Linked DNA regions of Mus musculus: regions 1, 2, 3, 5, 6 and 7 are each reported to be linked to region 4. The links are microRNA targets in miRTarBase. Many come from high-throughput screens and were not tested one by one. Region 4 holds a microRNA gene; each other region holds the end of a gene's coding sequence.

The links. The annotated mature microRNA mmu-miR-3089-5p reads UGAGUUCAGGGACAGCGUGUCU and lies in region 4 at 2,117-2,138, opposite strand. An mRNA with a match to its seed (bases 2 to 7 or 8) in the 3' UTR can be bound and repressed. Matches are read on the target gene's strand: a 7mer-m8 pairs with bases 2 to 8, a 7mer-A1 pairs with bases 2 to 7 and ends in A, and an 8mer does both.
Region 1: miRTarBase lists Tox4 as a target of mmu-miR-3089-5p. Seed matches in the 3' UTR shown: 7mer-A1 at 862-868, 7mer-A1 at 891-897, 8mer at 2,705-2,712 and 7mer-A1 at 2,849-2,855.
Region 2: miRTarBase lists Wdr25 as a target of mmu-miR-3089-5p. Seed matches in the 3' UTR shown: 7mer-A1 at 3,207-3,213 and 8mer at 3,190-3,197.
Region 3: miRTarBase lists Rpl31 as a target of mmu-miR-3089-5p. Seed matches in the 3' UTR shown: 8mer at 3,320-3,327.
Region 5: miRTarBase lists Creb1 as a target of mmu-miR-3089-5p. Seed matches in the 3' UTR shown: 7mer-A1 at 2,413-2,419.
Region 6: the mRNA of Cyld is a reported target of mmu-miR-3089-5p. Seed matches in the 3' UTR shown: 8mer at 2,698-2,705.
Region 7: the mRNA of Dars2 is a reported target of mmu-miR-3089-5p. Seed matches in the 3' UTR shown: 7mer-A1 at 2,697-2,703 and 8mer at 2,668-2,675.

Annotation. Positions count from the first base shown.
Region 1 is chr14:52,292,521-52,296,735 of GRCm38, forward strand. Tox4 (TOX high mobility group box family member 4) reads left to right here. Exons shown (of 10, transcript NM_023434.3): 9 at 1-163; 10 at 681-2,989. The coding sequence ends at 741. Mettl3 (methyltransferase like 3) reads right to left here. Exons shown (of 11, transcript NM_019721.2): 8 at 4,144-4,215; 9 at 3,996-4,061; 10 at 3,554-3,666; 11 at 2,321-2,573. The coding sequence ends at 2,462. Among named protein-coding and RNA genes, the nearest start is that of Mettl3, 10 kb to the right of the region's middle.
Region 2 is chr12:109,026,744-109,030,958 of GRCm38, reverse strand. It overlaps Wdr25 (WD repeat domain 25), which reads right to left. Exons shown (of 7, transcript NM_177602.3): 7 at 2,507-3,713. The coding sequence ends at 3,492. Among named protein-coding and RNA genes, the nearest start is that of Gm52002, 17 kb to the left of the region's middle.
Region 3 is chr1:39,370,703-39,374,917 of GRCm38, reverse strand. It overlaps Rpl31 (ribosomal protein L31), which reads right to left. Exons shown (of 4, transcript NM_001252218.1): 3 at 3,852-3,964; 4 at 3,007-3,616. The coding sequence ends at 3,585. It overlaps Tbc1d8 (TBC1 domain family, member 8), which reads left to right. Exons shown (of 20, transcript NM_018775.4): 18 at 747-836; 19 at 1,094-1,191; 20 at 2,132-3,423. The coding sequence ends at 2,569. Among named protein-coding and RNA genes, the nearest start is that of Rpl31, 5.0 kb to the right of the region's middle.
Region 4 is chr2:30,719,145-30,723,359 of GRCm38, reverse strand. Mir3089 (microRNA 3089) reads right to left here and starts at 2,150; the gene lies at 2,067-2,150. It overlaps Gm14488 (a long non-coding RNA gene), which reads left to right and starts at 2,173. Exons shown (of 4, transcript XR_866106.3): 1 at 2,173-3,387; 2 at 3,490-3,654. Gm39782 (a long non-coding RNA gene) reads left to right here. Exons shown (of 3, transcript XR_866107.2): 2 at 254-305; 3 at 647-1,797.
Region 5 is chr1:64,597,027-64,601,220 of GRCm38, reverse strand. It overlaps Creb1 (cAMP responsive element binding protein 1), which reads right to left. Exons shown (of 9, transcript NM_009952.2): 9 at 1-3,987. The coding sequence ends at 3,843. Among named protein-coding and RNA genes, the nearest start is that of Mettl21a, 19 kb to the left of the region's middle.
Region 6 is chr8:88,746,424-88,750,638 of GRCm38, reverse strand. Cyld (CYLD lysine 63 deubiquitinase) reads right to left here. Exons shown (of 17, transcript NM_173369.3): 17 at 1-3,810. The coding sequence ends at 3,626. Among named protein-coding and RNA genes, the nearest start is that of Cyld, 52 kb to the right of the region's middle.
Region 7 is chr1:161,038,082-161,042,261 of GRCm38, forward strand. Dars2 (aspartyl-tRNA synthetase 2 (mitochondrial)) reads right to left here. Exons shown (of 17, transcript NM_172644.4): 17 at 2,520-3,849. The coding sequence ends at 3,635. Gas5 (growth arrest specific 5) reads left to right here. Exons shown (of 11, transcript NR_166052.1): 10 at 144-191; 11 at 376-458. LOC115487640 (a small nucleolar RNA gene) reads left to right here and starts at 227; the gene lies at 227-302. Snord47 (small nucleolar RNA, C/D box 47) reads left to right here and starts at 11; the gene lies at 11-75.

The DNA.
Region 1 (4,215 bases), not on the chromosome of region 4:
TGGAGTCTCCTTCTCAGATGGATGTTGAATTGGTGAGTGGCTCCCCTGTGGCACTGTCACCTCAGCCTCGATGTGTGAGGTCTGGTTGTGAGAACCCTCCTGTTGTCAGTAAGGACTGGGACAACGAGTACTGCAGCAATGAGTGTGTGGTGAAGCACTGCAGGTGAGTTTAACAGTCCTTATAAATCAAGAGGTAGTGAAGTGAAACTGTTGGGGAGCATGGTACCCGTACCCGTGTGGACTGAGCATGACCTTATTAGGCAGAGCCACTTGACATGTGTGGGTGGGTAGGTATCTGATTAGAGATGCTCCTAGATGTTCAATTGCTTAGAGATGAGGATGTAGCTCAACTGACAACTGCTTGCCTGGCATGGGTAAGGTCCTGATTTCAATTACCAGTGTCAAAGAATTTGGTGAGGGATAGGTAAGGGGGAAAGTAGCAGAGTAAATGCTAAGTGTAGAGAAGGTGAGTAGTAAGTGAAAACTTTGCCCTTCTACCAAAATATCCCAGGGAATTACCTATATCCGTGAAAGGGCATATGTGTCCTCTACGAGGTGGATTGGCACAGTCTACCACATCTGACTTTTAGGCTACTTGATGATGTTATACTTTGGAGATGTAGGGAAATATTTGGGTATGGTTTTGCTATAATAAGTTTGTATGTATCTTTCTCTCTTAGGGATGTATTCTTGGCCTGGGTGGCCTCTAGAAATCCAAACTCTGTGGTGTTTGTGAAGTAGCCTTCGTCTTCTCCAAGCCTTGAAGATTCATCTGCTGAACACGAGTCCAAAAGCCTGTTTTTTTGTTTTGTTTTGTTGGTTTTCCAGACAGGGTTTCTCTATGTAGCCCTGGCTGTCCTGGAACTCATTTTGTAGACCAGGCTGGCCTCGAACTCAGAAATCCACCTGCTCTGCCTCCCAAGTGCTGGGATTAAAGGCGTGCGCCACCACCGCCCGGCCAAAAGCCTGTTTTTTAAACACAAACTGGGCTTCTGTAGTGCCTGACCTTTACCCATAGTCCTTCATGCCTCCATCTCCCTTTTCTTTCTTCAGCAGAGGCCAGACTATGTAGCAGGGCCAGCAAATTCACTGTAATTTAGAATTGCTTTTTACTCTCAACTGTAAGCAAAATTACCAGCTTACTAGCAAGCACAGGGAAGAGTGATGGGAGCAAATCATAGGGGTCATTAGAAGAAACATACCAGTAAAACGGTCAGACAACTTGCCTAGAATGTCATTGGGCGAGTGCTTTGCTTTGTTCTCGGCAGAAAAAGCTCTGGGAGAAGAGAGACTTAGGGTTTCAGCTCAGTGGTAAAGTGCACTGGGTTTAAATCCCAAGTGAAGGAGGAATGAAAATACTGATTTAAAATAAAATGTGTGATAGCCCTTTAAAAGGGAACTATTATTGATATACACAGTGCTATTAGGAGGAAGGTTTGAAGGCCTGGGGTTATGGCTTAGCACTATAAAGCTCTGAGTTCAGACCCCAGGCTGGAAGATCAGGAGTTCAAGGTCATCCTTGGCCCACTAGTGAGTTTGAGAACAGTCTAAGATGCATGAGGTAAAGGTTTTACAGAACATGGTGGCCCGTGCCTTTAATCCTAATACTTTGGAAGTAGACAGGAAGATTTTTGATCTGAACTTAAATCAGACTTTGTCTCAAAAAATAGACCGGGTGTGGTGGCACTCCCCTTTAATCCTACAACTTAGGAGGCAAGAGGCAGGTTGGATCTCTGAGCTTGAAGTTAGCCAGGATTACCTAGTGAGATCCTATCTTAAGGTCCCCCTCCCTGCTCCTGACAAAAACACACAAATTCTGTTTGTCTCAGTCTTAGCACATTGGGCTAGAGGGGAAACGACATCATCCAAAACGATCTTTTTCTGTACAAGTATTTCTTTACCTGACTTGGTTACCAGTTTTGCATGTAAGAAGCAGAACTCTATACCCCTAATAAGAGGTTTTACAAAGTAAAGAATCTGTGTTTGATGAAACATCTTTTAAATGTGCATTCATTTACATAATGCATAGGCCAATTTTTTATATTCTAAGCTCTAATTTTAATTGAAGGTACCTTGTTTTTCTTAGAAATTAGCTACAGACTAATAAACCAGCAAACGTACATAGAATAAGCAAAAGTTTAGAGTACCATATGCATGGTAAAATTCAAATTAATCCTGTTTATAGCATATTAATTGCTAAGCACTGTGAACCTGTGTAGTCTTTTCTAACACGCTAGGTAGCTAACATTCTTCTTTTACTTATAATGAATCACGCTAAATAAGAGTAGCACAAGGACACACACTAAGTGGAAAGCCATAATTTCACTTCAGAAATTCCAATTATAATACAAACTTTTATTTATTTATATACAGGGTAGGGGACACTATTGCGTAAACAGTCCTCTTAAGGTGTGGCCTGTAGCCCATGGCTCTGAACGCTTAGCTTTGTAAGGAAGTGCGTCTATAAATTCTTAGGTTTAGAGATGATGCCGTCCGGATACCTTTGCTTAAACCTGGCAACCACATCTGGGTCTAGTAGGTGTATCCCATCCAGTTGGTTTCCAAGAGTAATCCTAAAACAAGGGGGAAAGAAGAGGCAAACCAAAAATCCTGTAAGGGCTTAATACTTAAAATGTTCTACTTTCTGGTGATACCTATCTCAGGCTGTCCTGGAACTAACTCTCCATGTAGACCAGGCTAACCTTGAACTCAGAGATCTACTTGCCTCTGCCTCCCAAGTGCTGAGGCTAAAGGTGTGCTCTACTATGCCCAGTCCACGTCAATTTTTTTGGTTTGGTTTGGTTTGGTTTTTGAGACAGGGTTTCTTTGTATAGCCCCGGCTGACCTGGAACTCACTTTGTAGACCAGGCTGGCTTCAGAAATCCACCTGCCTATGCCTCCTGAGTGCTGGGATTAAAGGCATGCGCCACCACGCCCGGCCTACATCAACTTTTAAAAAGATCAGAGCAAATAATATGGCAGTGTCAATACAAAAACTGATTGGATTTTAATTTCTTTGGTGGTCCTAAGAGTTGAACCTAGGCACCTTACATATACACTCTTAAACTCTTAACACTACCAGCCCCCCTCCCCTTTTGAGACCTCTAAATAAGCATTGGCAGGCCTTAAGCTTGCAATCCTCCTGCTTCAGTCTCATGCCCCAAGATCCAGCCGGATCTGTCTATCTAAGGATTAGTAATTGATGGTAGCCAGGCCTACTTCATTCAGTCACTGCTAGTGAATAGTCCTTGGATAATTAAAATGCTCACCATTGGCATCAAACATTAAAACTGACAGATTGAATAAATACTTAGTAGCCACTAGGGGGCAGATTTAATATAGCCCACAGAATAGCTGACGATCCTTGGGCAGTTAGAGCTTTAAGAACAGCCCTTTGGGTTCTAATGAATGTTGTAGATTCTGGTAAAGCTTAAGCCATCTAGACTACCAGAATGTATACAACTCAGTGACATCTGTCTTTGTCCATAAAGGGTTTTTTGGGGGAGGGACGGGCAGGAGGTAGGGAGGCAAGAGCCTGTTCTCTTAATGTTACCAGTTGGGCTGCACATTGTGTGGTCGTCCAAATAACTCAATCTTGCGGGTGCCAGGGGACAGTCTCTCAATCATGCCATATATTTCATCTGGTTTATGACTGGTGGAACGAACCTAGAAAATAAAAACTCAAGCTACTTTAAGTTATTCAAGATTGCTTAATAGATAGAGAAATGGCTCACAGTTATGAGCACTGGTTGTTTTTCCAGAGGACCTGGCTTCAATTCCCAAGACCTACAGCTCATGACACCCTCAAAAAGACATACATGCAGGCAAAATACTGATACACATGAAATAAAAATAAATTTTTAAAAAGTTACTCAAGATTGCAATTCTAGTCTGGTCTGTGTTACCCAAATGAGGAAAAAAAAAAAAAAAAAATGGAGACTGACAGGAGTATTGAGTGAAAGTCTGAAAGCTTTAGATGCACAGGGGACACATACCTCAGCTACAATCACATCGCAGTCCAGGCCCTGGTTGAATCCTTGAGGATTTCCCTTAACACCAACCTGCTCATCACAGAGAACACTGTTTACACAACCACAGCCTTCAGTCTCCTAAGCAGCTCCCCCTCTTCCTCCTGTTCCTCACCAAGCAGTGTTCCTTCCCGTGGTTTAACCAGTGACCCGTCCGGCCCGTCCTAATGATGCGCTGCAGCTGATT
Region 2 (4,215 bases), not on the chromosome of region 4:
GTATGGAGTCCAGCTGGGTTGGTGGAGTATGGAGAGCCATTTGGGAGACAGTGAAAGGAATCAAGGATGCAGGCTTCAGGGACAGGTGGTCCTGCCATGCCTCTGTGCCCTTTAAGAAGGAGCCTCCTCAGCAAGACACGGAGGGCCATGGCCACCCTGCGGGGGTGGGGGTGGGGGTCGGGGGATGTGTGTTAGTACAACTCAGATGAAAGTCACAACCTGACTCGGAGAGCAAGACAGGAGTGGGTCCAACGTGTACAGGCATCTCTAGACAAGGCAGCTCTGCTCCCAGGATCCCTCTGCTTTGATGCTGCAGATTGCAGATGTGAAAGTGGGATGGGGTGAGTTGGGCCGGGGAGGGCGGGTGGAGGGAGAACCCACACTCCAGGTTCATCTTTCTCCGTGCTTGCCAAATTTAGCTTTGCCTATTTTTAAATTGCAAATGGTGAACTCCCCGGCACCTCGGCTAGGATCAAAGTCAGTCTTGCTGAATGTTCTTTGGAAGAGGCATTTGAAGAAGCAGGGAAACATGGGACACGCATGCCTGTCCTCCTGCCCAGGAAGCCAGCTAGGGGTAGATACAGGGGCACAATGCACCAACCCCTGCAGAAAGAAACCAGACCCTAGGGATGGCACCAGGAAGCAACCACAATGGGACCACTAGAAAGCCATGACTGTTCCCCTGGACCTGAGTCAGCATAGAGATTCAGATCTGTCTATCCTGGTATCCGTCTATCCTGGCAGCACCATCCAGGAGACAGTCGGAAGAGCTCTTTCCCTACCCTCACTGTCCCAACAGGCTCACTGTGTACATGAGAAAGCAAAAGCTTTCTCATGTAAGAAGCCAATCCTATACCACCAGGAGGTAGGCCCAGAGTCTAATCAGGGCTCTATGGTCCTGTTGTCCCAGGGACACTGGCAGGAGAGGGCTGGGTACAGAGGTAGACAGAGAACCCCTCTATAGATAGCTACCTGCTAGCCCTTCTGGGAAAGCCTAGTGAGCAGAGCCGATCACTGCAGGCGGTAGAAGATATCCTGGGGACGGTAGAAACCCTGGATGGCAGCCGCAGGAGTGGGAGGGACAGCCAGCGGGAGAGGCTGGAGAAGGCTGGCCCCCCTGCTTCTGTATTCTCACTCATTCAGGCCTGCACTCGGGGAGACACTCATGAAGATGCTACGAGGGGCCCTGAGTTCTTTGAGGATCACATCAGTCCTCTGGTTCACGGTGAGAGCTACTGATCATAGCTCTCCATCTTCCTGGGCAAGGAGTCCTAGTCTAGTATGAGGCAGACGGCAGCCACTCTGAAGCTCACCATGAGGTTTTTCAAGTGGGAAGGAAGGAGGCAGCTCCTGCCAGCAGCCTCTACCGAGATTAAATCTGGCCCGTGCTAAGACCCTGAAAGCAAGAGTCAACAGTAGGAGAGGGTCCCACCAGCCCGTGGCCCACCACAGCAAAGCCTAGAGCGAATCTGGCCAGGTACCCAGCCTGAACAGGCTCAGTATCACAAGGTAGCCACACAGATCCAAGTAACCCGAAGACCCAATGAACATGGGCCCCGTGCTACTCTCCAGGGGGGTTGTGGGGGTTAGGGGGACTGAGACACTGAGTAAACCACAAAGCTTGCCCAAAGTCATGCAATACTTCAGGCAGACTTCAGATCTGTGCCTGACTGGTTCTAAAGCCTGGGTCCCAGCAGAAGTCATTCGTTGGACAGTTATGTTCCAGGGACATGGCGGGACACAAAGTCCTGCCCAGGGATCTTGCCGAGTGTCACACAGGACAGCACAGGGTGGGACATGCTGCTTGAGGGAGAAGGAGTTACACCCCTGTGGCTCCCTGAATGAGCATCTCCCTGTATGCTCGTGGGGAAGAGACAGTAGCTTGTCCTCAGGGTGACAAGCACATTGGCCCCGTGGCACCTGAGCACAGAGGAGGCAGCCATCAGCCGGGGGAGGAGGGGACTGGCCTATTGTGGCAGCAAGGACACAGGAGCCTTGGGGCAAGGCCCAACCCAAGGCCCTGACCTGCTTCCCCAGATGGTGGTACCCTTCAATGCCTTGGACACTAAAATAAATATCCTAACACAGCATCCCTGGGCCACTTCTGGCCCTAAGACTCAGTATGACCAACACTCTTCCAGATCCCAACACACACGCAGGCTGCTTCCCTGACCTCACAGATGAAGAGCTGGGGCAGGGAGGGAAGGGGCAGGTCATGCCCGGGACCAGATCGCAGAATGGGTTAGGGGTGAAGCCATACACCACTCTGCCACATCCCAGACCTCCTCCCCTCCTTCCTCCTCCCCCCCCCTCCCCTCCCTACCTCTTTTAAGTACCACGATACCCACCCCAACCTGTGAGTGAGTCCCTGGGCCGTCGGGCATCCTAGTCACAAGTCTGATAGTGTTTGAGACTCATAGGCCTGCTCCAGGCCCCTAGGGAGCTAGGCTTCCTGTCTTCGTCCCTGTTCTACTGCTGTGAAGAAACACCATGACCACGGCAAGTCTTATTTTAAAAAGCATTTAATTGAAGCGGGTTTACAGTTTCAGAGGTTCATCATTCAGATTATCATCATGGTGGGAGGAAGCATGGCAGAGTGCGGGCATGGCGCTGGAGCAGTAGCTAAGAGTTCTACATCCTCATCTGAAGGTGGAGAGAGATCCACTGGACCTGGTGTGAGCTTCTGAAACCTCAAAGCCCACCCCCAGTGACACACTTCCTCCCACAAGGCCACGCCTCCTAATCCTCGTCATCCTTTCCAACAGTTCCACTCCCTACATGCCACACTTCCTTCTATGTGCTTCTGAGTCCCTGCTTCTCCTCGCACTCCTTCAGGACAGATGCATAGCTTTGCCCACCACAGACCACCCACCTGGCAGTGGGCAGGCAGCAAGTTAGAGGACCAGAGGTGGGTAGGAAGAAACACAGTTGTTGGTGTCTTATAGTGGGGTGGTGGTGGGGGGCGCTGAGGTGCACTGAGCTCCTGGGCAGTCACAAGCCCCAGAGCCTCACTGTCCGAAGGACCAGCAGGTGACAGTCCCATCTCAAGCTCCCCTATCTGCAGTAAGAAGGCAGGAAGACACTGCTAATATGTGTTCATTGCCAAAATCACATTAAGAAAAACCACACCAGGCGTGGTGGCACACACCTTTCATCTCAGCACTCAGGAGGCAGAGGCAGGTGGGTCCCTGAGTTCAAGGCCAGCCTGAGTTCCAGGACCACCAGGGCTACACAGAGAAACCCTGTCTTGAAAAACCAGAAACAAAACAAACAAACAAGTAAAAGACCAATCAACCAACCAAACCATACAGAGCACACGCTTACTGATTGCGTGTCACCCACCAGTCACTCGGCAAACACCTTTACTAACACACGCTTGCGCCGAGACGGCTTCTCACCCCCATGCTATAGCCGAGTCACTGAAGCCCAGCAGCTCTCGGGAGCAGCCTAACCTCCGGCCGCCTACCCAGGGGCAGGGTCTCAGTTGCCAGTTAGTGCCAGATCTTGATGTCTCCTCCCCAGGAGCAGGTCCCGAGGACAGAAGGCAGCACAGGATGGTAGGTGGTGCCAAGGCAGGCCTGCGTGTGCCCTTGTAGTGTGCACGCTCGGCTGGCCGTGCGGAAACTGAACATCAAAACCCGGCCATCAGCGCTGCCTGTCACCAGCAGGTCACCACATGGGGAACACTCACAGCCCACCGCGTAGCCTTCCACCTGTGGAGAGAGACAGCAGGCTACCTGTGAGGGATCATGATTCACCCCACGCTGCAAAGGATGAGCTGAGGCTAGGAAGCTGCTAAGCCCAGGGCTGGCTTTATCTTTAGTGACCCTGAGGTGAGAAGCTATGCTCCTGCTGTGTGCCTAACCGTGGAGGTGTGACCTGGTGTCCCAAGGCCACCAGCCCCAGCAGTCCTGTGACACATGGGCTGCAGGTCTCCAGTACAGTTATGAATGCCCAGCACCAAGTGCACACTTCTTAAAACACAGTATGTAGCTTGACTGTGCAGTGTGATCTTCACAGATGGCAGCCGCTAGCCACAGTGTCCTGGGAATGGGACCCAGGTGAGGCAGTTTCTGCAGAGCTGGGGTCTGGTGCCACAAAGGCAGTGACTCCCTAGCCTCTTCCAGCTCAGCAAAGCAGGCCTTATGCAGAAAAGGAGTACACAGAGAAAAGGCTCCCAAGTCTATTCTCCCCTGCTCCTATTGCCACCCCCAT
Region 3 (4,215 bases), not on the chromosome of region 4:
AGGCCAGAGTGAATTAACCAGCTTGTCTGTGTGCTTAATTAAATCTCTCATCATCTTTTGCCAGAAAGCGTGAAGCACTTAGGATCTATTAAGATATTTTAAGTTTTAACACATTAAACAAATGTGTATCATACATGTGTACCATATATGTGATAATATTCCCATCACCCTCAACCCGTTGCCTTTTCTTCTGGTGACCAAGCGACCACAGCTCTACAGAAGCAAGACACCTGACCATTAAGAAAATGTTTCTTCTGCACCTAGCAACCGTAACTGCCCACAGACCTGTGGAAGGGGCAGGATACCTGCCCTTCTCTCCTAATGAGTGTACAGTCCTACCTGATCAGATAAAGCCTAGCATCACAGATGATCGCAGGACAGAAATGACAATACTGTATATAGTGAGGGGTAGATGTGGAAATGAGATGGACGCAGGGATGAGATATGGTAGAAAAGGAGCAAGAACACAGACAGAGCCAGGGAGGCTATTTCTGAGAGGAAAAGAGCAAGGCATGCCAGAATCTGGTGGAATTCTAGGACAGCCAGGGCTTTGTGAAGAGTTTCAATCCTACCAATTTACACATCTAAACACACTGTGCTCACTGTGAACTGCAAGTATTTTTTTTTCAGGTCAGCTATCAGCTGTGTCTGTGTATGAATTTGAGATATGTGTGGGTCCATAAAGCATTTAGCTTTACACGTGTAAACTTTACAATTGTGTCCAATTTAAGCATTTTCCTTTTAAGCACTCACTGAAAATGACAGAGATAGCCAGTCACCATTGAAGAATCCTCTGTTGTCAACTTCAAGACCCCTGGTCCTGGGCAAACCCAATGGTGAGCATGTTTCCACTACTGGCTCTTAGCAACCTATCCCTCTCCCTTACCAGTGCGGCTTCCCAGTTCTCTGCAGCTTTCATCCTTTTCTAGGGTCCTCTTTTACCAGGAAGGCCCTAGAAGTCTGACAGATAGTCAGTTGTAAAAAAAAGTAACCTCTTGGTTTTATATGCAATTTGCTTAGTGTGGCATCCTGTTCTCTTACTATCCCAATTTTAATTTTCATAGAATTTAAACTGTTGTTTCCCTTTGCCAAGGTGACACAATTGACTATCAGAAACAGCTGAAACAGATGATTAAGGATTTAGCCAAAGAAAAGGATAAAATGGAGAAAGAGTTGCCCAAAATGAGTCAGGTATGGCATCTTGACTTCCCACAACACTGCTGTGTTCCAGTCACCTCTTTGTAACAGGAGGCTGCAAACAAGGCAGCCTCCCACACCTCTGACCTCGTTAGTGCTACACAAGTGCCACAGGGAAACAGGTTTCGTGTGAAAAGGCTCTTCTTGCTAATGCATGAGAAATTGCGAGTGGTCCTGTGTGACTTCAGTGACTTAAAAACTATGTGTGGTCAAGGCATGAAGGCCAACAGGTGTCCTTCGACCTTCAACTCAGTCTGAACATGAAGCCAGGTATAGTTCCTGGTCTTCCCAGGCTTTCACATGTGTTGATAGTTATGTCACCCAGAACTATCTGTACAATTTTTAAAGTTCCTGTCAAGTATTAGCTTATTCTTTTGCTGCCATAAAAGTTGTGGGCGTTTCACCTAAACCACTGAACAGTGTGGCACTTTTTTCTCTCCACTCTACCTACGGGTCTCCTAAGCACTGGGAAGCACTCCTAAGCTACATGCCCAGTTTTTACTATCCTCAAGGCCTGCATCTCATGAGCTGACATTTACCACCCAAAGTTAGCACGGAAACCCTCTTGATCAAAATGCTTGGGCTAGAAGGTGGCGCAAGCCTTTAATCCCAGCACTTGGGAGGCAGAGGCAGGCAGATTTCTGAGTTCAAGGCCAGCCTGGTCTACAAAGTGAGTTCCAGTACAGCCAGGGCTACACAGAAAAACCGTTTCGAAAAACCAAAACCAAACAAACAAAAAACCCTTTCTAAATATGCTGCTTGTGGGACACAACTATCACCCAGTGTTTACTGGAGAGGCAGGAAGATCATGGATTATAACAGTCTCAGAACTGTTTCCCATGGCACAAAGATTAAGCAGCATACACTTTTCTGATAGTGTAACATATCTCCACCCTCATGCTGTTTGTTGTCTGTGGCCTTCTTTTAATTCTAGAGAGAATTTATCCAGTTCTGTAAAACTCTGTACAGTATGTTCCATGAAGATCCAGAGGAAAATGACCTGTATCAAGCCATTGCCACAGTAACCACTCTGCTACTGCAGATTGGAGAAGTGGGCCAGCGAGGTAGCAGTTCAGGAAGCTGCTCCCAAGAATGTGAGGAGCCGCAGGCCTCGGCTCCTCCCGAACAGGACTCAGTTTTTGCTGAGGCTGGAAAGAGTCCCCAGGCCTTCCCCGAGACTGAAGGGGACTGGACTGTGTCCCTTGAACATATTTTGGCATCCCTTCTCACTGAGCAGTCACTGGTGAATTTTTTTGAAAAGCCACTCAACATTAAATCCAAACTTGAAAACGCCAAGCTCAATCAGTACAGTCTCAAAGTTTTGGAAATGAGCCACCCACCACAGGCAGAACTGAAGCTCAATGACCTGTAGGCCCTGAGCTGCTGGAGAACACACTGGAGCCGACCACACCAAAGCAAGAGCTGTCAGCCTACAACCAGGGAGCTCCACCACCTCAGTCACAGCTGCAGGTCTGACGCATTTCTATTTATTAAGAGGACAGGTGAGTGGTGGGACGCCCTGTTTACATACACTGTGACTATCAACTTTGCTGAGACCAGTGTTTCTGTTGTGATCCTGATAGTGAGTCTGCCCTTTGATGAAGAAAAAGATGCCACCGTAACTAAGAGACACCAACCCCAGGCTCATGTTTCCACTGGTCAGAAACAAGAGATCCCAGAACCATTGCCTGTACAACTGTATTTGGCTTTTTTTTGCACTAATTTTGTTTCAATGCTGGTAATTGAAACCATTTAATATATCTCGTATTCACTTTATATGCCCTTACAAAAACATGTTCAAACCATGCCTTTAATGTTTGTCCTCAAGGTTTTTAATAAAAATCGTTCTTTTGTACTGACTTTTTTAAAATGTCATTTTGAGGGCAGACACATCCCAGAGATGAGCTACTGGTTGGCAAAGATGGCTGGAAAGGCAGAGTTGATGTCCCAGGTCCAATTCCTGGGACCCACACAACATAAGTTAATTCAGTACGTTTAAGTTATAACCTCAATCTTTACCTAATCTTAGGCTCACACATAAACCTGGAACTGAAAATGAGAGCTTACAAACAAGCTGGGCATTTAATTGCCAATACTAGGGAGGAAAAGGCAGGTGGATTTCTGAGTTCAAGGCCACCCTATTCTATAGAACAAGCAGTGCCACAAGAAACCCTGTTTCAAAACCAACCCAAATCCACAATCCTAATAAAGTGACTTCTGTGAAAAGAATGTTTCACGTATTTCTAATTTCCCATGTACCCAGAACAGAGATTCTCAGATTAATTTCCAACACCCTGTAGACCCAAAAATTCCACCCATGAGGCAGACAACAGAAAGGAAAACCAAACCCTGAAGGCAGTTCTGCAACTTTATTTGACACGAGCAGGTTAGTTCTCATCCACGTTGACCGTCTGTAGATCTGGAAGGAGAGTAACAGCCAGTCAGCACCCACGCATCCTGCCCCAGCTGGAGGCCACTGCACAACCCATGGCCTGTGCCGCCCTTCCCAGCAACCTCTGTACTATCTTCCCCCAGCCAGTTAGTTTTTAAGGAACATCTGATAATTTAACCTGCTGCTTACCTCTTCACTGAACATAGTTAAGACACACATCATCTCACATACAATAACTCCTGCGGAACGCTGGGATACTTACTTTTGAATGTGGTAACAGGCACGTAAGTTACCAGCGTGTAGAGCTTGTTTGGGGAATCCTCATCCTCATTACGTTTTCTGGACAAGCGTACTCGGATGCGATATGGAACGTTCCTAATAAAAATGTGTTGCTAAGGTCAATGCTTCCGTCAGAAACAAGGCAGTTTCTCACATCTATCCCTGTTCCTTGTGTTCTGGCAAACAAGCCTCTATGACCTTGAAAACACCCAGGTGAATGAGCAACAGGCCAGTCTCAGGATGTGTCAGGCCTGTTAGGATGTCAAGGCAGTCACCAACAGTAACCAATTATTCTTAAGCAGACAGAAAGTGACTGCCAACAGATAATAGCCATTAATTCAAATAAA
Region 4 (4,215 bases):
TGGGGCGATGATGGCTCAGTTGTGCCGGCCATGAAAGGATGAAGATCTGAGTTTGATTCCCAACACCCACTTAAAAGCCAGCTGCAGTGGTATCTATTACCCCTGGGGCTGGGGAGGCAGACAAGCAGATCCCGGGAGCTTGCTGGCCAGCCTAGCTGAATTAGTGAGCTCTGGGTTGAATGAGAGGCCCTTTCTCAAACACACGCTGAGCGTGATAGAGGAAGACTCTGACCTCTGTCTCTGGCTTCCACAGGCTTGCATCTGTGCACACGGACCCTCCTACATGCAAACCCCCACACGAACAGGTACGTACCACCCCCTCACTCACAAAAGACAAAATAAAAATAAAAACAAAAAAAGGTCTTAATCAGAGGCTCGTTTGGATTTTTCCAGCTCCCCTTGTCTCCCAGGGCCCTCTCCTAGAGGGGGTTAAGCACATTAAGATGCAAGCAGAGTCGGCTCTGCTCTGCGCTCAGAGCGGGCCAGGGCTGAGCAGATTCTGGTTGTTATTGTTGCTGTCTGTGGCACCCTGAGTGCCTGCCCCAACACCCTCTAGGAGACTCTGGGGAATTTTCCAGAGCTTCAGGGCTGAGTTGAGCACAGATCTCAGAACTCCTAATGTTTGTTTCTTGTTCTCCTTCCCCAGCCTCCTGAAAACACGGATCCCCATCAGCCTAAAGTGGTCTGGGAAATGCTTGGTCTTCCTTACACTGATTCCTGTGTCTTTTTGTTGGGCTTTGGGTTGGAAAACTCTAGAAGAACCTAGATCAAATTTTAGAATTGAACCCTGAGGGTCCAGGCTTAGCTCACCCAGCAAGGCAGCTTCCCTGGCCTATGCAGCACAGCCACCTGCCTTACGCTGAGCTCTGGCTCCTTCAGAGGCCTCTGGCATTACCAGTGCTTCTTGGACAGTGTCTTGTTTCTGAACTTTAGGCCACAAAATAGAACAGACTGGGGTGCCTTTGGACCCAAGGGTAGGAGGACAGAGCTGTACTCCCAACTGAATTAGGAGGCAGAAAGACTGGGGGGTGGGGGGTGGGCATGGCATCCACAGAGAGGCAGGGGTGTGGGAACCCTCTGAGGGTGCCGGGCAGGGGCTGTGGGCCAGGCCTGGGAGCCTCGGGGAGGCCGGCAGGCACAGAGAAGGAGGCCTCCTACCAGACACTGTCTAGACGCAGCAATTATTGTCAGCTCGGAACACCCAGGCTCTGCCTGTGCAGCTGAAAAGGAGCTTAACAAAGAGAGAGGGAGGAAGAAGAAAGCGGAGCAGAGCCGCTCTGAGCCTGCCTGCCCGCCTGCAGCCCGCGGCTCTTTCTCTGCTTGGGCTCCCCCCCTCTTTGTGTTCCACAGGCACTGTTGAGGGGACAGCTCCTCACAGCTCAGAGATGCCTGATGGGGACAGAGCAGGAGGTGCAGCTCTGGGGCCCTGGCCAACTCTTCTGAGCTAGGCTTCTCAGAGTGGATGCTGGGAAGTCTGGGTCTTGTCCACTTTAGAGGGCTCTAGCCTACACCCTTGTCATACTGATGGGGAGCCTTGGGTCACGGAATGACAGCCTGACACCTACCCTCCTCTGCTTCCAAGGAGCCAGGCACTTTGTAGATAGGGTTAGGGGTGGGGGCTCAGAGAACACAGTCAGCCGTGGGGTGGCTTCAGGTCTGTCCTTTAGATCTGGGCCTTATTCTTCTCACCCTTGGGAGGAGGTGAGAGGGCAGGGCCAGCATAGCTTTGATGGGAAGCCCACCCTCCCCCGCCAGGACAGGGTTTCTCTGTGCAGCCCTGGCTGTCTTGGAACTAACTCTGTAAACCAGGCTGACCTTGAACTCATAGAGACCCTCCTGCCTCTGCCTCTTGAGTGCTGGGATTAAAGGTGTGTGCCATCACTGCCTGGCTGGAAGACTGTTATTAGCCGTGGCAGGCCCTTCAGAGCTGGAAGATGAGCACTTTGGATTCCATATGTGTCCTAGAACCTTCCCCCTCCTCTCAGTTGCCATTCCCGAGACCCCCTTGGCGTTGGCAGCAGTGGTGCTCAGAGTGTAGGGGTGGAGCCTCAAGGCCCTGGGTTTCTGCAGCTAAAAACACAGCTCAGGATCAGCAGATGCTCAGACAGAGAAACTGAGACACGCTGTCCCTGAACTCAGTTGCAAGCCACCAGCTGTTCCCCTTATCTCCCTGTTCCAGGGCATCTGGGCAGGGGCTCTGCTCTCAGCCCAGTCTGTAGCTCTAACTCTACCCACTAGCTTAGGCTCATGGAAAGGACCTACTGTGTGCTCAACTCTGCTCTCCTCTTGCCAGCAGTTGGGGTTGGGGGCCGGGTGGGGAGTGACTTGGTGGGTGGGCACCTTCTACATCCTGTGGAGGTAATGAGCAGTCCCAACCTACTGCTGGGGAAAGGCCTGAAGCTGGTCAGGGCTCCAGAGTGACTGGGTAGGGGTAGCTGGGTCCCTCTCAATCCTTCTCAATTAGAGACAAGGCCCTCAGAGCAAGAAACATGCATACCTGCCCTTACATCACACCCGAGGCCTCTTGATCTGTCCCCAGGACCTTCCCAGGCTCCAGGCATCGGCCTGGCCTGCCCGAGGCTCAGCCCTGCTGGCCACACACTGTCTTGTCTGCTGTGTCTCCCAGTACTCAATTATAGGAACAGAACCCTCCTCTCTCCCTCTGCACCATTACCATAACAAACCTGATTCCCCTGCCTATACTGCAGACCCACCGGGATCAGCCGGTCCACCAGGATTCTAGCATATTCTGCAATGCCACTGCAGCTCCCTCAGCCCTCCCCACTGGGTCTTCCTTTCACCTGGCGCTCTGAGCCATCTCTACCAGACCCTCAAATATGCGAAGCTGCCAGCCTGCTCCTGTGAGTTGTCCCCTGCCTCCTGAACAGCACCAGCCCTCCCTGTCACATAGCCAGCCCAGACAGCTTTCTGATTCCTCCCGCATCTGCACTAGGCTGGTCTTCCACCATGGCACAAACCAAGCTTGAGTTCAGCCCCCAGTTCCTAGCCTCTGGGAGCTTTGGAGACCTGTTCTCTCTGCTCCATAAAAGCCTGCCAAACCTTCCAGAGGCAGGAATTGATAGACCACTTGGATCTGAGGCCTGAAGACTGCCAGTCCTGTCTTCCCTGGCTTCGCATTAGTTGAGTTAGTCATCCCAGTAGATCCTCATGCACCCTTCTCTAGGACACTTCTGACCCCTGCTGAGATCACACACACAGCCAGTCTGCCTAAGTCCCTGATATTTCAGCCTTCTTGGGGGCACCCAATGCATTTTTTATGGCTCGCCACGCCTGCGAGCCCTGTGGGCCAGCTGTCTCTGGCTTGTCTCACTCTGTGAACCCAGCTCCTGCTTCTGAGGTGCCTTCCCAGCCTGACACCACCTAGAGGTAGGAGAAGTGACTTGGGCCCACACCCCCCCCCCCCCCCCCCCCGTAAGTGAATCCCTCTCGGCCCAAGCACCAAGGCAACCTCTTTGTCCTCTTTCCCAGGGCCTCCATGCAGACTCCCAGGAGTCACCGTGAAGGCCAGAACAAGGCTGTGCCATTGTGCTGCCCACTGACCTGAGAGCACTCCCAGGAGCTGGAACTGCCTTGTGCCCAGTTCCTCCCTCAAGCCCCCATGCAACTAGGCCAGTCCACAAGGACAGGAGGATGGTAGGTCCAGCAGGGGTGGGTACCCCACATCTATTCCTCCTCCAGAATTGGCCCAGAGCGTTCCCCAACCCTTGCTGTGGGATATCTAAGCCTCATCTTCCTTCCTCCCTGCCCTGCCTGTCCTTTCCCTCCAAATATCTATCCCTCTCCTCTCCTCTCCTCTCCTCTCCTCTCCTCTCCTCTCCTCTCCTCTCCTCTCCTCTCCTCTCCTCTCCTCTCCTCTCCTCTCCTCTCTCTCCTCTCCTCTCCTTGTTCTCGCCTCTCCTCTCCTCTTTTTCTCTCCTCTCCTCTCTTTTCCTCGTCTTCTCTGAGTCCTCCCTGGGCCTCCTTCCTTTCTTCTTCCTGGGTTAAAAATAATCAACTTTCTGGGAAGCGGCAGTTCCCGCTGAGCCGCCCTCCCCACACACGGGAGCCCCTGAGAATAGCTTTCTGCGGCTCTCCACTGAACCCCTCCCTCCCTCCTCCCTCCTTCCCTCCGCCCCCTCCCCGCCGGCTGACTAATAAGCCGGGCAGCCGGCTCTGCCAGCTCGCTGCAAGGGCGTTAACTGCTTCGTGCCCGGG
Region 5 (4,194 bases), not on the chromosome of region 4:
GAAATTTAAAATTATAAGTACTTATTTTTCCTTCACTATTAGTCAAACCTAATTCCCAGATATTTAGCTTTTATAACATGCTTAAGGCTAGCTATGATACTGTGATCAATGAAACGCTTCCATTAAGGAGTCATGATTTGAAGGAGGAAGACAAAAGGGTCAGCTGAGAACTCATTGATAAGGAATTTCCCAAGTTGCTGATACCCAAACTGGGTCCTTAAAAAAAAGTGCAAGTTACAGCAAACCTTTACAAAGAACTACTGTAAATACAACCTCAAGTCAACATACAGCCTGTGTACTGGGCCCCGGGATGCTGTGCCAATCCAGAGTTTCAGTGTTACAAAGGCAGAACAAAAGCCTCTGGAAGGAACTGAAAATGAAGCAGCTATTGGTAGAGAAACCGATTTGTGTTACTAGCTGACGAGTCAACAGAGAACCAAAGCTTCCTAAACAGGAAAGGCAACATTTTGACTGAAGTCACTTCAAGTACGTAAAAGCATTCCGGGTTATATAAATGTTTGTTTCTAAGCCCCAATATTTGTATGATTCCATGTCACCCTAAATGGTCGAAAATAGTAGGGAGGAGTCCTGAGAGGCAGAGACCGGCTTCAGCCAAGAGGGCTTCTGGCTGGACAGCCTGCCTGACTGGTTTGTGCTTTAGACAGTAGCACTGCTTGCTGGCCTACCATCAAAACACATCTTGACAAAAATCCCTGTTCAAATGAAACATGAAAAGTCTTTGCCCAAAATGATTCTTGAAACAATTCTCTTAAAACCTTTTTTCAAAATGTTCTTACCAATTTTATAGCTGCCAGAAACAAAGCAGGGGGAAAAGAGCTTGGGGTTTAGGAGTTTTTAAGTGACTGGTAACATACTCAAAAGCATCAAGCCAAACAAAACAAAAACCTAATAAAAAACTGGAAGAAAAGAGAAAACCCAGTTGTGAGTGCTGGAGTAAAACAGTCACTGAAACACCAGAAGAGATGCAGGAGAAAGCACAGCAAAGTGGAATCTCACCGGACCTCAATACGCTATAATACTCAGCATTCCTGACATACCAGCTCTCAGAGCATTTAGATGATATACTGTATGTATGTATATATGTACACATATATTACAAAATGCCACGTCCCCACCCACACTATACCATCTAAACAAGCACAGCACCTAGGACAATATGATGGTTGCTAATATGGTACTTGCTTTTGATAAAGAACTTAAATTGTATCTCATATCAATTTTTTAAATATGAACATATTGGATCTAGCCCTTTCTAAACCATTTTTCAGTTAAACACTATCAAAGCTTGAAAACTCAGAAGAGTAATATATCAAAAATAAACCTATCCCCATTTCATTTTTATTAGAGTTAATCTGCCCTATAGATAAAAGTGCCACTATATATATGCAAAGTGAGCAGTACCAAACTTCTATTCTCTAGGCAAATCAGTAGCATATGTACAGATTCCTATGACAGTTCCATTCCCTTTTGGCCAACATGAAGAGAAAACATTACCGATAATGTGGCCACATACAATTTTGGATATAAGAGTTTTTAAAAAATTATGTCATTTTCTTAATAAAGATTCTCCACATAGCTCAAAAACAAGTTTTTGTTTTTGTTTTTCTCATTCTCATGTTAAAAAAAAAATCCAGCTTGCATTAAAGAGGCTTTGATTTCTTTCTGTATGAACTGAAATTTCAAAGTCAGGTTTCACAACACCATATATTTCTCACATTATCAAGTAACTGGTGTCAAACTAGTACAGTCATGCTCCAAGCATAAAGACCCAGGCCTCTGTAAATTAATATCCATCCAACTAGGAAGTATGGCTGAGACTGCCTTGGTCTCTAAAGGGTTAAGGAGACCACCTGTTTCCTCATTATGTAGAAAACCTCGACTTTTGAAGATAGACACTTAGAGATTACAACTTCTGCACGCTAGGCAAATTTTCCACTTGTGACATTTAAAATGTTCAATCTGACATTCTGACTTAATGTGAAGTAATTCCAGTTTGTTGACAGATTTGTGATTCTGCTTCCTTTTTGTTTCACCACGTTTAGCAAATGATACATCTACTTGCTAGCACAGACAGCTTTTATGCTATCTCCTTCCCAGCAAGCTCAGCAGGACAAAGATCAAACTTTAGCCGTTTGAAAGCCTTCTGGAGAATCTGGTGAACTGTCCAGACAGAAGGATTATTACATCACTCAACTCCTAGAATCATGTCCTTCACAAACTGTTCATCCTTGAAAAAAGACAATGGTTTGTTATAAACAACGTAGAACATTTACAGATAGCAACCTAGTCTTAGCTTAGAAATGGGCCAAACAGTTCCCGCTCATACGTATACTGATATTAATATTAACTTTCTTAATATCCCAAAGCAAATATAAGACACTCTTCTGAGTCTGAGTTCTTCCTCAAACGTGAAGTAACCTAACATGCCAGCCTCCACTGTCCTCATATTTGTCTTTTAAAGAGGTAACTCTTAGATTTTATTAGGTTTAATAAAAAAAAAATGAGTTATTACTAAGTCTTATCAGAAACAATGTTACACATAAATGTAGACTATAGGTAAGGATGTAAGTAGAAACATCTTCAGAAACAGAACAGCTTTTGGATAGTTAAAGCAGTACCACCTTTTTTAGGAGAAAAAAAAAAGTGTTTGCCAAATATTGTACCATAGCACACACTCCAATGTCTGAAGGAAATTACTTTTCTTGTGTGCATTTAACACAATGTTTTAGAATCACATCCTTGTAACTTCTTTGATTTAAAAAAAAAAATCCCAAGAGATTCTCTGATAAAAATATGACTATAGAAAAGGTTGTCTATTTAGTACTTTCCATCACTTTGGCTGGACATCTTGAAAACGCTCCTGTTGGCTGCACAGTGTAAATGCAGCAGTGGACTAGGTAAATGAGTGACAGTATGAGGATTCGGAAAGCAAGGACAAAAGTCTTTATTTATTAAACACCTTATTGTATAACTCAAGGAGTTAGCTTCCTGGCCAGCACCTACTCATTAAGACTTAGTACTCACCAGAATAAGCTTTATAGTATGATTTTAACTTAACTCAAAATTCAAAACCATGCTTTCCATTCAGTTGGTTACTTCTGTTAATGTATTCAAACTGCTGAACACACAGAACTGAATGAAGAAGCAACAACTGCCCTACAGAGGAACTGTAGCCAATACCGTGCTTCTCAGCACCAAGGACAACTTGTCAGTGCTGAAGAAAGGAACATACATATAAAGTTTACTCCCAACACCACACTAATATCCTTATTTAAAGGATGTTTTTAATAGTTCGACATAATTCACAATGAAAGTGTAAAAACATTAATTTGGCAGTCAACACTTCTTCATTGCACCTTCCTTACTTTCCTGTGTGGCCCACACATTACGTCAGCTCAGCAGGCTGGGTAACTGTCCCTAAGGCAATCATGGAGCTCAACAAACCTTGAAGTCATTAATAAGAAAACAAACAAAACAAACCTAAAACAAAAATAAGAAAGCCAAGATTTCATTTTCCTCATTTCCCCCAACAATTTACAAATAAGCAAATGATTACTTCTTGAGGGTGGTGGAGACGGAGGGCAGAAGTCTCTTCATGATTCCTGGCGCTGCACATTTCTTGAGGGCAGAAGTGGAAGTAGTTTTTGGAACATTCACAGTTTAATGCAAAAGCAGAAATGAATGAAATTCTGTAGTTGCTTTCAGGCAGTTTTGCGCATAGAAAAAAAGAAATGTTTAGAAAATAAATGTTTACTTGTCTTTCTGGTTGTGGCCAAGCCAGTCCATTCTCCACCGTAACAGGAGAGAACTTAAATCCCAAATTAATCTGATTTGTGGCAGTAAAGGTCCTTAAGTGCTTTTAGCTCCTCAATCAATGTTTTGTTTTGGTTTTCAAGCACTGCCACTCTGTTCTCTAAACATTTCACATATTCTTTCTTCTTTCTACGACATTCTCTTGCTGCCTCCCTAAAAATGAAAAACACAAAAAAATTTATGTTCATAAACTCCATTCCACTAATTTTAGAACAGAATGTTTTCTAGAGAAACAGCTGAAATAAGCAAACGTTCAGTATTATACAAGAAATGCTCAGGAAATGATACTGGCATTGCCTGATGCGGCAGCACACTGGTAATGCCCCTTGCTGCTAAGCTGGACAATCTGAGCGCAGCCCC
Region 6 (4,215 bases), not on the chromosome of region 4:
GTGCGCGCCACTGAACATCCCGACACTTCCGTGTATACCTACGATTGCCAATCTCTCCAGCAATACAGGGGGGAGGAACACATACCAGATGCACTCCCATCAGGTCATATGTAAACGCTGATCCACACAGAGTCAGTAGCCACTCCTTCACACCTACACAGAATAACTGCCGTGGATAACAGTAACAGAAGAAGGGGTCTTTGAAGCCTTCCAGCCTTATGGCTCCATACCTGCTGCTGGTCACTGTTTTCTGTGGATGAGCTTCTGAGTTGAAATTTCCTACCTCCAGCAAAAACTCAGATGTATCAGGCATGGCCTGGAACCCTAACAATTTGTACCGCTTATCCAACTACATATCCAACCCTTTCATCAGACAGAACAAGACACTGAAACTCAAGAAATCGAGGTGGTGTTCATTCAGCTACAGAGCAAGTGATGGAGAAAGAACCCAGGATTTTTGTCTCTTAGTCCTTTGCAATAAGGTTACACTAGGTTGTCTCCCAAAGTGGTCCCCAGACATGCCTGTCACCCATGCCTAGGCTAAGAAGCACCAACGGATGCTCTGGTATAGAAACTGAGCAGTAAGCTATATGAGAGCAGGCCCCAGGTCTCATTAGCCCCGTGCCGTATGCTAGCCACCTAGCAAATGACCCATAAATACTTGTTGGCAGTTACTCACCAGGCCAAGTACGGGGTTTTGCACTCCCAACTCAGTGCAGGAAGATGCAAACAGATGCAAGCTTATCTACCTGCTTACTAAATTGCAGTTGGGAGGGCTGCTGCTCCTAGATTTATGAAAATGCCACATTCAGTCAACCAGAGAATGGACACGCTCCAGAAGTCAGAGGTAAGAGGAGCCCGGCCATTTACCTAAGCACTTGGCAAACATAAAATAAAAACCCCAGGCTACTCTGAGGATAAAATGCATAGCAACCACCCACAGCTGCACTACACAGATATCTCGCTCTGTTTCTCAATGCATTTCCCCAACTTAGAAAATACTTTGTGAACTGAGCTGGACTCTCTGTGAAGCTGGCCCTGAGGAGCTCGACACTTTGTAGCTTTTGGATTAAAAATGTGCCTGGGCCCCTTTCCTCTCCCTTGTTCATCCTCCTGACTCTCCATACATATATACAGATTTGCCTCACAGTAGAGAAATAGAATTCTTATATTTCCTATTTGTAGCTATGGCTCCTAAACCATGTTGTGAGTAAAACAATCCTACTACACTACCATCTTGATAAGGAGAAGGACACTCAAAATATTTTAAAAGGCAATGGGAAAACCGTACAGAAAACCTAAGATTACAAAATTAAAGTAATCCACAGGCACGAGGGCTATCTGCACCACACAGTCCAACCCTATTGCCCCAGGGGCAAACCAGGCTCTGCTGGGACAAGGAATGAGGAGGGGCTGTCCAGAGGGACAAGAAGGCATGGGAGAGAGCTCCCGCTGGCCTGTGCTTCTCAGGCCTCCCCAGCCACTGCAAGTGGGTGTTCCGCTGTGTGCCCCTACCCAGCCACTACTGCTAAAGAACACAGTGCAATTTCGAGACGATCTTGCTTAGGGATTGCCTGTGGACATGGTCCTCCTCACTCACAAAGTGCCACCCCAACTTCAGAACCACTGCAAACAAGCTTTGAGTCCTCTGCTCTGAAAGCCAAGTAGCTAGTCTCTTTGCACATGGATTTTGCTTCCATTTCTGAAATTAAAAAAAAAAAAAGCTTTCCCTCAGCCCCCTCCCCTTCACTGTTAAGCCAGGCTTGCCTATAAACAAAGACCTCACCATTCCTTAGTTAAACCTTTCAAAATCACACTACCACACTAACAGACTCATTAAATACATACTTATTACAGGGTGACTGAATTCTGGTCAGTGTGCAAGCTCAGACTCACCTGTGCTCACCGTTCTCACCTGTCCCAGGATGATGAAGACAAGGCTAGCCTATAGCTGGAGGACTTTACTGCTATCTACTCATGGCCTCTCCACCCAGTCTAGGCACTCAGCTATATAAAAGTCTGTGCACAGTATACACACTTTTCCATTGCAAAAGTACAAAGATTACAAGATGGACGAGTTTTGTGTGTTGTGATTTATATAAAGCTAATACACGCCAGCAAAATGGAATAATAAAACCAAGGAGTAAAGTGCCTTTAAAAATAACAGCAATATTTATAGACTCTTTTGACATTAAATCTTTTATAAAGCCATATGTTACACATATAACACCTTCTCTTTCTGTAAGGTTGACATTATTCAGAGAGACAGCCATACCACAAAACAACACTCAGACAACAAGCACTCTACAGCATCCACCACGGTCTATACACACACAAGCAGTCCTAAGATGACATCCATTTTCTCCTTTGAAACCATCACTGACATTGCAGTAACATGCTGACGTGGTTGTCATTGTTTCAAGTGACACCAAACTGACACCAGAGAGTACAAGGGTCTTCAGTCAAACAAAAATATTAGTCTTATTTAAATTAAGAGAAATTCACTTAAACTAAAAATAAAATAATTTATTTACGATGAGATTTTTAAACACCTAACACATTTTTTCAGGGAAATGTTGGTGCTAACTCTGAGCCAGCTTCACTTTCTCTGGACTGTGGGTCTGTATAAGAATATATAATTTGGGGCTAGAGAGATAGCTCAGCAGTTAAGAGCACTGACTGCCCTTCCAAAGGTCCTGAGTTCAATTCCCAGCAACCACATGGTGGCTCACAACCATCTGTAATAAGATCTGATGCCCTCTTCTGGTGTGTCTGAAGACAGCTACAGTGTACTCATATAAATAAAATAAATCTTTTAAAAAAAGAATATATAATTTACTTATCGCTCAGTCATTTCAGAAACCACTGCATGTTGTCTCATACTTAGGAGCCCCTACAGAAGACCTGTTCAGTAACAGTTGTTACTATGACTACGATACTTGTTTTGTACCCTAATTCTTCAAGAACAAATCAAAAATGGACATTTTATGACAGAGTCACTCATTTATCTCAAAACTAGAACAAATAAAAAATAACACCATGAAAGGAATTTCAGCATGTTCTGACCACTGCTGCAGGAACACAGAAACTCAGCAAAGTACAGACATGCAGGAAATCAGCACTATATAGGAAAATTAACAATTAAACTCAGCACACCTTCAACAATTGGAGTAAAGGCAGACTCTTAATAAAATCATATTATGTCTTTCTCAAGGCAATCATTAGCTACAAAAGGAAAATGATTTCATATCCCTGGTCCATAAGAAGAAATATTTATTTACATCCTCAATGGACTAAAAGAGGTTTTAGACGTCACAATTAAAATTGTATGCTTCCAAAAATATCGTATCATCAATGCAGTTAACTTAAAGTGTCAGATATTAATAAATCCATTTAGACTTCTTAAAAAATCAACACAAACATACTTCCTAGAGTGCAAAATGCTTCTTATTAAATACTTCAGGAACACAAAAGCAATTTGTTTGGAAACACAGGAATCCTTTGCTGAAGGGCCATCATCAAAAGAGACACCCATTGCCGGCAATGGGTGCCGGACAGAACCACAAGCTGGAGGAAGACACAGCACTAAGGTTTGTGCTGTCTCTGCCCACTGCGGATAACCTGGTTATTTGTACAGGCTCATGGTTGGACTCTGGTACATGCACATGTATGCATCGCAAAGAAGTCTGCGCGCACAGCCTTGAATCCTTCTGGAATCCAAAGAGTGCAGGTCCTCCAGAGACATCTTCAAGTACTCTCCCACTTCTGGGCAGGGCGTCACTTGTGGAATGTTGAAGCCATTCTGACCACCTAGAGAAAGGGGCAGTGAAATCTATTTAGGGAAGTGAATGTCTAAGTCCTTCTGGCATCCTGTCCTACCTGAACAATTCTACTATCCTAGAATTTAATGAGTACTGACTCTGAGAATTGGAAGAAAACCTTTGTTTGACTTCCAGTTTCTAGAATTATAGTCTCCTTGGCTTCTGAGAGGGTTCCACAGGCAAAGGTGAATAAAACTGGTGAAAGAACACATATTTAAGATAGGCCTGATTTGCAGGCTGCTACCCACTGTGTGCACAGTCTTGATTCCTCATACCTGCAAGTCCCTCCCATACACTAACAGCCTGACATTCTTTTCCACAAAAATTTTGCTCAGTTTTTGAAACACCTAGTAATGCCCATTGCTGTTTTCCTATGTTTTAAGGACATACTTGC
Region 7 (4,180 bases), not on the chromosome of region 4:
AACCAGTGATGTGATGATTCTGCCAAATGATACAAAGTGATATCACCTTTAAACCGTTCCATTTTATTTCTGAGGTTACTATACTAACATGTAAAATTTAACTACTCTAAGCCAGAGAAGTAAGTCAGTCTTTGTTTTCTTAGGGCTCCTGTGACAAGTGGACATGCAGTGACTGCACCTTTGTTTCTGAGGTGAGAACTGCAAATGCTTAACCGGGAACCTACTCCAGAATACATGATGATCTCACACAACTTGAACTCTCTCACTGATTACTTGATGATAGTAAAAGATCTGATGTTCTGTGTTTTAACAGTTACCATTTAAGTTAAAATTGTAGAAAAGTGTTTAACAGCTACCTTCTGTTGGTTGTTGCAGGTGCCTGGATGGAGGCTCAAATAGAAGATGGTGTCAGATATATTGTGTTAAAATTTTACCATTAAAGTGTATTATAACATGAACTGTGAAGTGTGCATTTTGTTCTGATGAGCACATTGTGGGGAGTTCACATTAGACATTTTTAAATCTATTAGCTGCCCAGTGACTGGATGGTATTGGTGTCAGTATAGTTTGTCTTTTTGTGCTTATAAGCACAAGCCATTATTTTTTTTTAAGATTTTTTTATTTATTATATGTAAGTACACTGTAGCTGTCTTCAGACACTCCAGAAGAGGGCATCAGATCTTGTTACAAATGGTTGTGAGCCACCATGTGGTTGCTGGGATTTGAACTCTGGACCTTCGGAAGAGCAGTTAGTACATCTCTCCAGCCCTAGAACACTTTTCTTATATCTTATAAAACTAAATATTTCATGGAGTATGCAAAGGGGAGTACAGTCACAAATCAGTTTGCCTGGAAATAGTTTTTTTTTCTCTTTCCTTTCTCAACACAATCTAAGATGAACCAAAAGAGAAGTGTGCTCTTACACACTGAGCCATCTCACCAGCCTCAAGCCATTATTCTGTTTGACATTTTAAATTAATAGGAACAGCGTTAACCAGAACTGGACTGACTGGTGGAGGTGGTATTTTCACTTTTGGCAGGTGACAGTGTCTGCTGAGTCTTACATCCTGAATGTCTAATCAGTTATGCAGTCTGAGTGGGTATACCAGCCCTTTAAAGGTCTGGAGATGGCCTGTAGGGGCACAGGTGTGAGGGAAAATTTGAAGTATAAACCTGGAAGGTAAAAGCCTAGACCTTGCAGTCCTGTTAAAGTGTTGTCCCCATGCCTAGGACTTTTGCAGTTATATATACCACCAGGCCTAACTCAGCATTCCTAAATTAGGAGGAACACTGAGGCTAATTGGCTCTTAGGTTTGATACTGTTCACTCTGGTCTGTTGGGCTCAGTTCTTGAGACCACGGAAACTACAATCCTTAATCTAACAAGTACAGTTTGGGATTCGTGCTGGGTGTGGTGGCCCCAAAGGAAAAGTTGAGGCTATTTTGTTTAGTCCTTTGGCTGTAGATAGTATAGGTAACTGGTCAGGGGTCCTTAGAACACTGGTTCCAGGCAAAATGTGTAGGTATTTGGAGCTGTACCTCTACAAGCTTTAGTCCCTGGGAATGGGGGCAGTGTTTCAATGCTCAACAGTTACCCTGGAACACATAGCTAAACATCTCATTTGGTGATTTATATTCTACACATAGTCTTACTGAAATGGATTTAAATTCCATCACATTCTTGGGTTGTGAGGATTTAAATTTTTCACATGCTAGTCACATACCTTTACTGTTAGTGGTCCATTTGTATGGTAATGCATGTGAAGAGGTCAGGATGACCTACACAAGTCTTCCTTTCACAATGTGGAATCCAGCTATCCAGTCATCTTGCCTGGCTGGTCTCTTGGAGGCAGGTTGCCTTGATGGGATTTCCATGTAGATCAGGCTGGTCTCAAACTTGGATCTGCCTAGGATCAAAGGTCTGTGCTTACTAGGACCAGCTGGGAGTTACTGGTCTGTTTTAAGACACCCATGGTTCCTTCTTCCAGAACACAAGGTCAGGGTTTCATTCACTGGATCTCTACAGTCACGCCCTTAGCTCAGATCTACCAGCCTCTGATCAAGTAGGGAGTCATCTGCCTCCTTCCACTTCAGCACCCTTAGCACTGCCTCATTAGGCCTTTAGATTGTGTATGATACTGGTGATTGAACCACTGAGCTGTGTACAACTGTCCTTCCAGGTCTCAGCTGCTTTGCCATCCTCCGAGGAATCGCCTAGTCCTGCAGTGAGTTTGTGTGTAGGGGATAGGGGGCAGAGAAGCCTTAGGGTGTTAAGGGGAGTGGTTTCCCCTTTCAGAGAAGGAATAGATGTTAGGGGTGGGAGGGGGTGCTGATAAACTCATTTGAATGTTTACTACTAGAGTGACATTTTTTAGAAAGGATTAGGTTTGTGACTGGAGGCTTTAAAACTGTCAAGAACCCATGCCTTTAGTCCCAGCACCAGGGAGGCAGAAGCAGCAGATCCCCAGAAGTTTGAGGCCAGCTTGGTCTACAGGAAAGAGTTCAGGACATGCAGGGCTACACAGAGAAACTGATTTTTGAAAGCCTTTAAGTAAGCAAGTTTCAGGGCTACAGAGAGTAATCCTGTCTTGAAAAACCATAAACAAGAACCACAGGCAGTGGTGGCACATGCTAATCCCAGCACTTAGGAGGCAGAGGCAGGCGGATTTGAGTTCAAGGCCAGTCTGGTCTACAGAGTGAGTTCCAGGACAGTCAGGGCTACACAGAAAAACCCTGTCTCGAAAACAGGCAAACAAAAAAAAACCATAAAAAAGAGCCCATGCCAGGAAAACTGTCTTGAAAAGCCATAAGAAAGCAAATAATTCTGTGCCAGGCCCAGTCTTCCAGCAACAGCAGGTCAGGATGTAGAACTCTCAGCTACTTCTATATCATGTCTGTGTTTGCCACCATGCTTACAGCTAAAACTATAAACCAGCACCAACTAAATGCTTTATAAAGAGTTGCTTTGGTTGTGGTGTCTCCTCACAGCAATAGAACAGTGGTTAGGACAGCTGCATTTCAGTCCTGTTTTACAGTATTTCAAATCACATATCTGCCACAAATGTAACCTCATGATTCTGGCAACAAGAGATCTGTGAGACAGCCAGGACAAGTGTCATTCACATTATATAAGCAGCTGGGGCAGCTAAGAGACATTTGTAGCTTGCTTAAGGTACAACACAATAGAATTCTGTTACTTGTAATTTTTTTTTTTGATCCTACTATACTACTTAGAACATTATATTGATGGCTGAAAGATTACCACAAAGTTTAATTTATGGTTCTAATGAGGCTAGATGAACTGAAACCTTGCTGCATTAACTGGCCAGTGTACAGAGGCAACCATGTTGTATTATCCTTATTCTAAATAACTTATCTGGGTATAGAAACATGCTTGGAAAACAGGAAGACTCTAAATACTCAATAAAGAGATTTTTTTGTTTGTTTGTTTCATTTGACAATTTTCCAATTAAAAAACTTCCACAGACAGTCCTAATGGTACACATGACCAAGTCACAATTGTGTAGCTTCTCTTTCTTACTCGGTAATGATTGCTTCTACACAGACATTTGGTTCTAAAGTCTGTGGCAGGTCTGGATCTTAATTTAAGTTTGGTGAAGCAGAGAAGACAAAAGTTAAGAGCTCAAGTGTTTGGAAGGTGTGGCGGATGCACTCTCCTCTTCTGAGTCTGCTGGCCACAAGACGTGGATATGGTAAGGCTTCAGCTCTTCTGGAGACACGGAGTCTGGAGCATTGCTCATAAGGTCCTGTCCTCGGTAGGATTTAGGGAAGGCTATGACATCTCTGATGCTGGGTGCTCCCGTGACAAGACATACCAGTCTGTCTAACCCTGTGATGTAAAATACAAAGTGAACATGATGAGAAATGTATAGCTTTTAGCTCTGAAAATAACTTTTTTGGGGGTGCGGAGGGTGTCAAGACAGGGTTTAGTCCTGGGTTGTCATGGAACTCACTCTGTAGACCAGGCTAGCCTTGAATGCAGAGATCCACTTGCCTCTGCCTCCTGAATCCTGGGACTAAAGGCTTGTGCCACCACCACTACCATTACTGATCTGATGGGCCTTTTTTTTTTTTTTCTTTCTTTTGAGACTCTGCAGCTCTGGCTGGCCTAGAACTTTGAGAGATATCCCTGAAAGCTGGGATTAAAGACATGCACCACT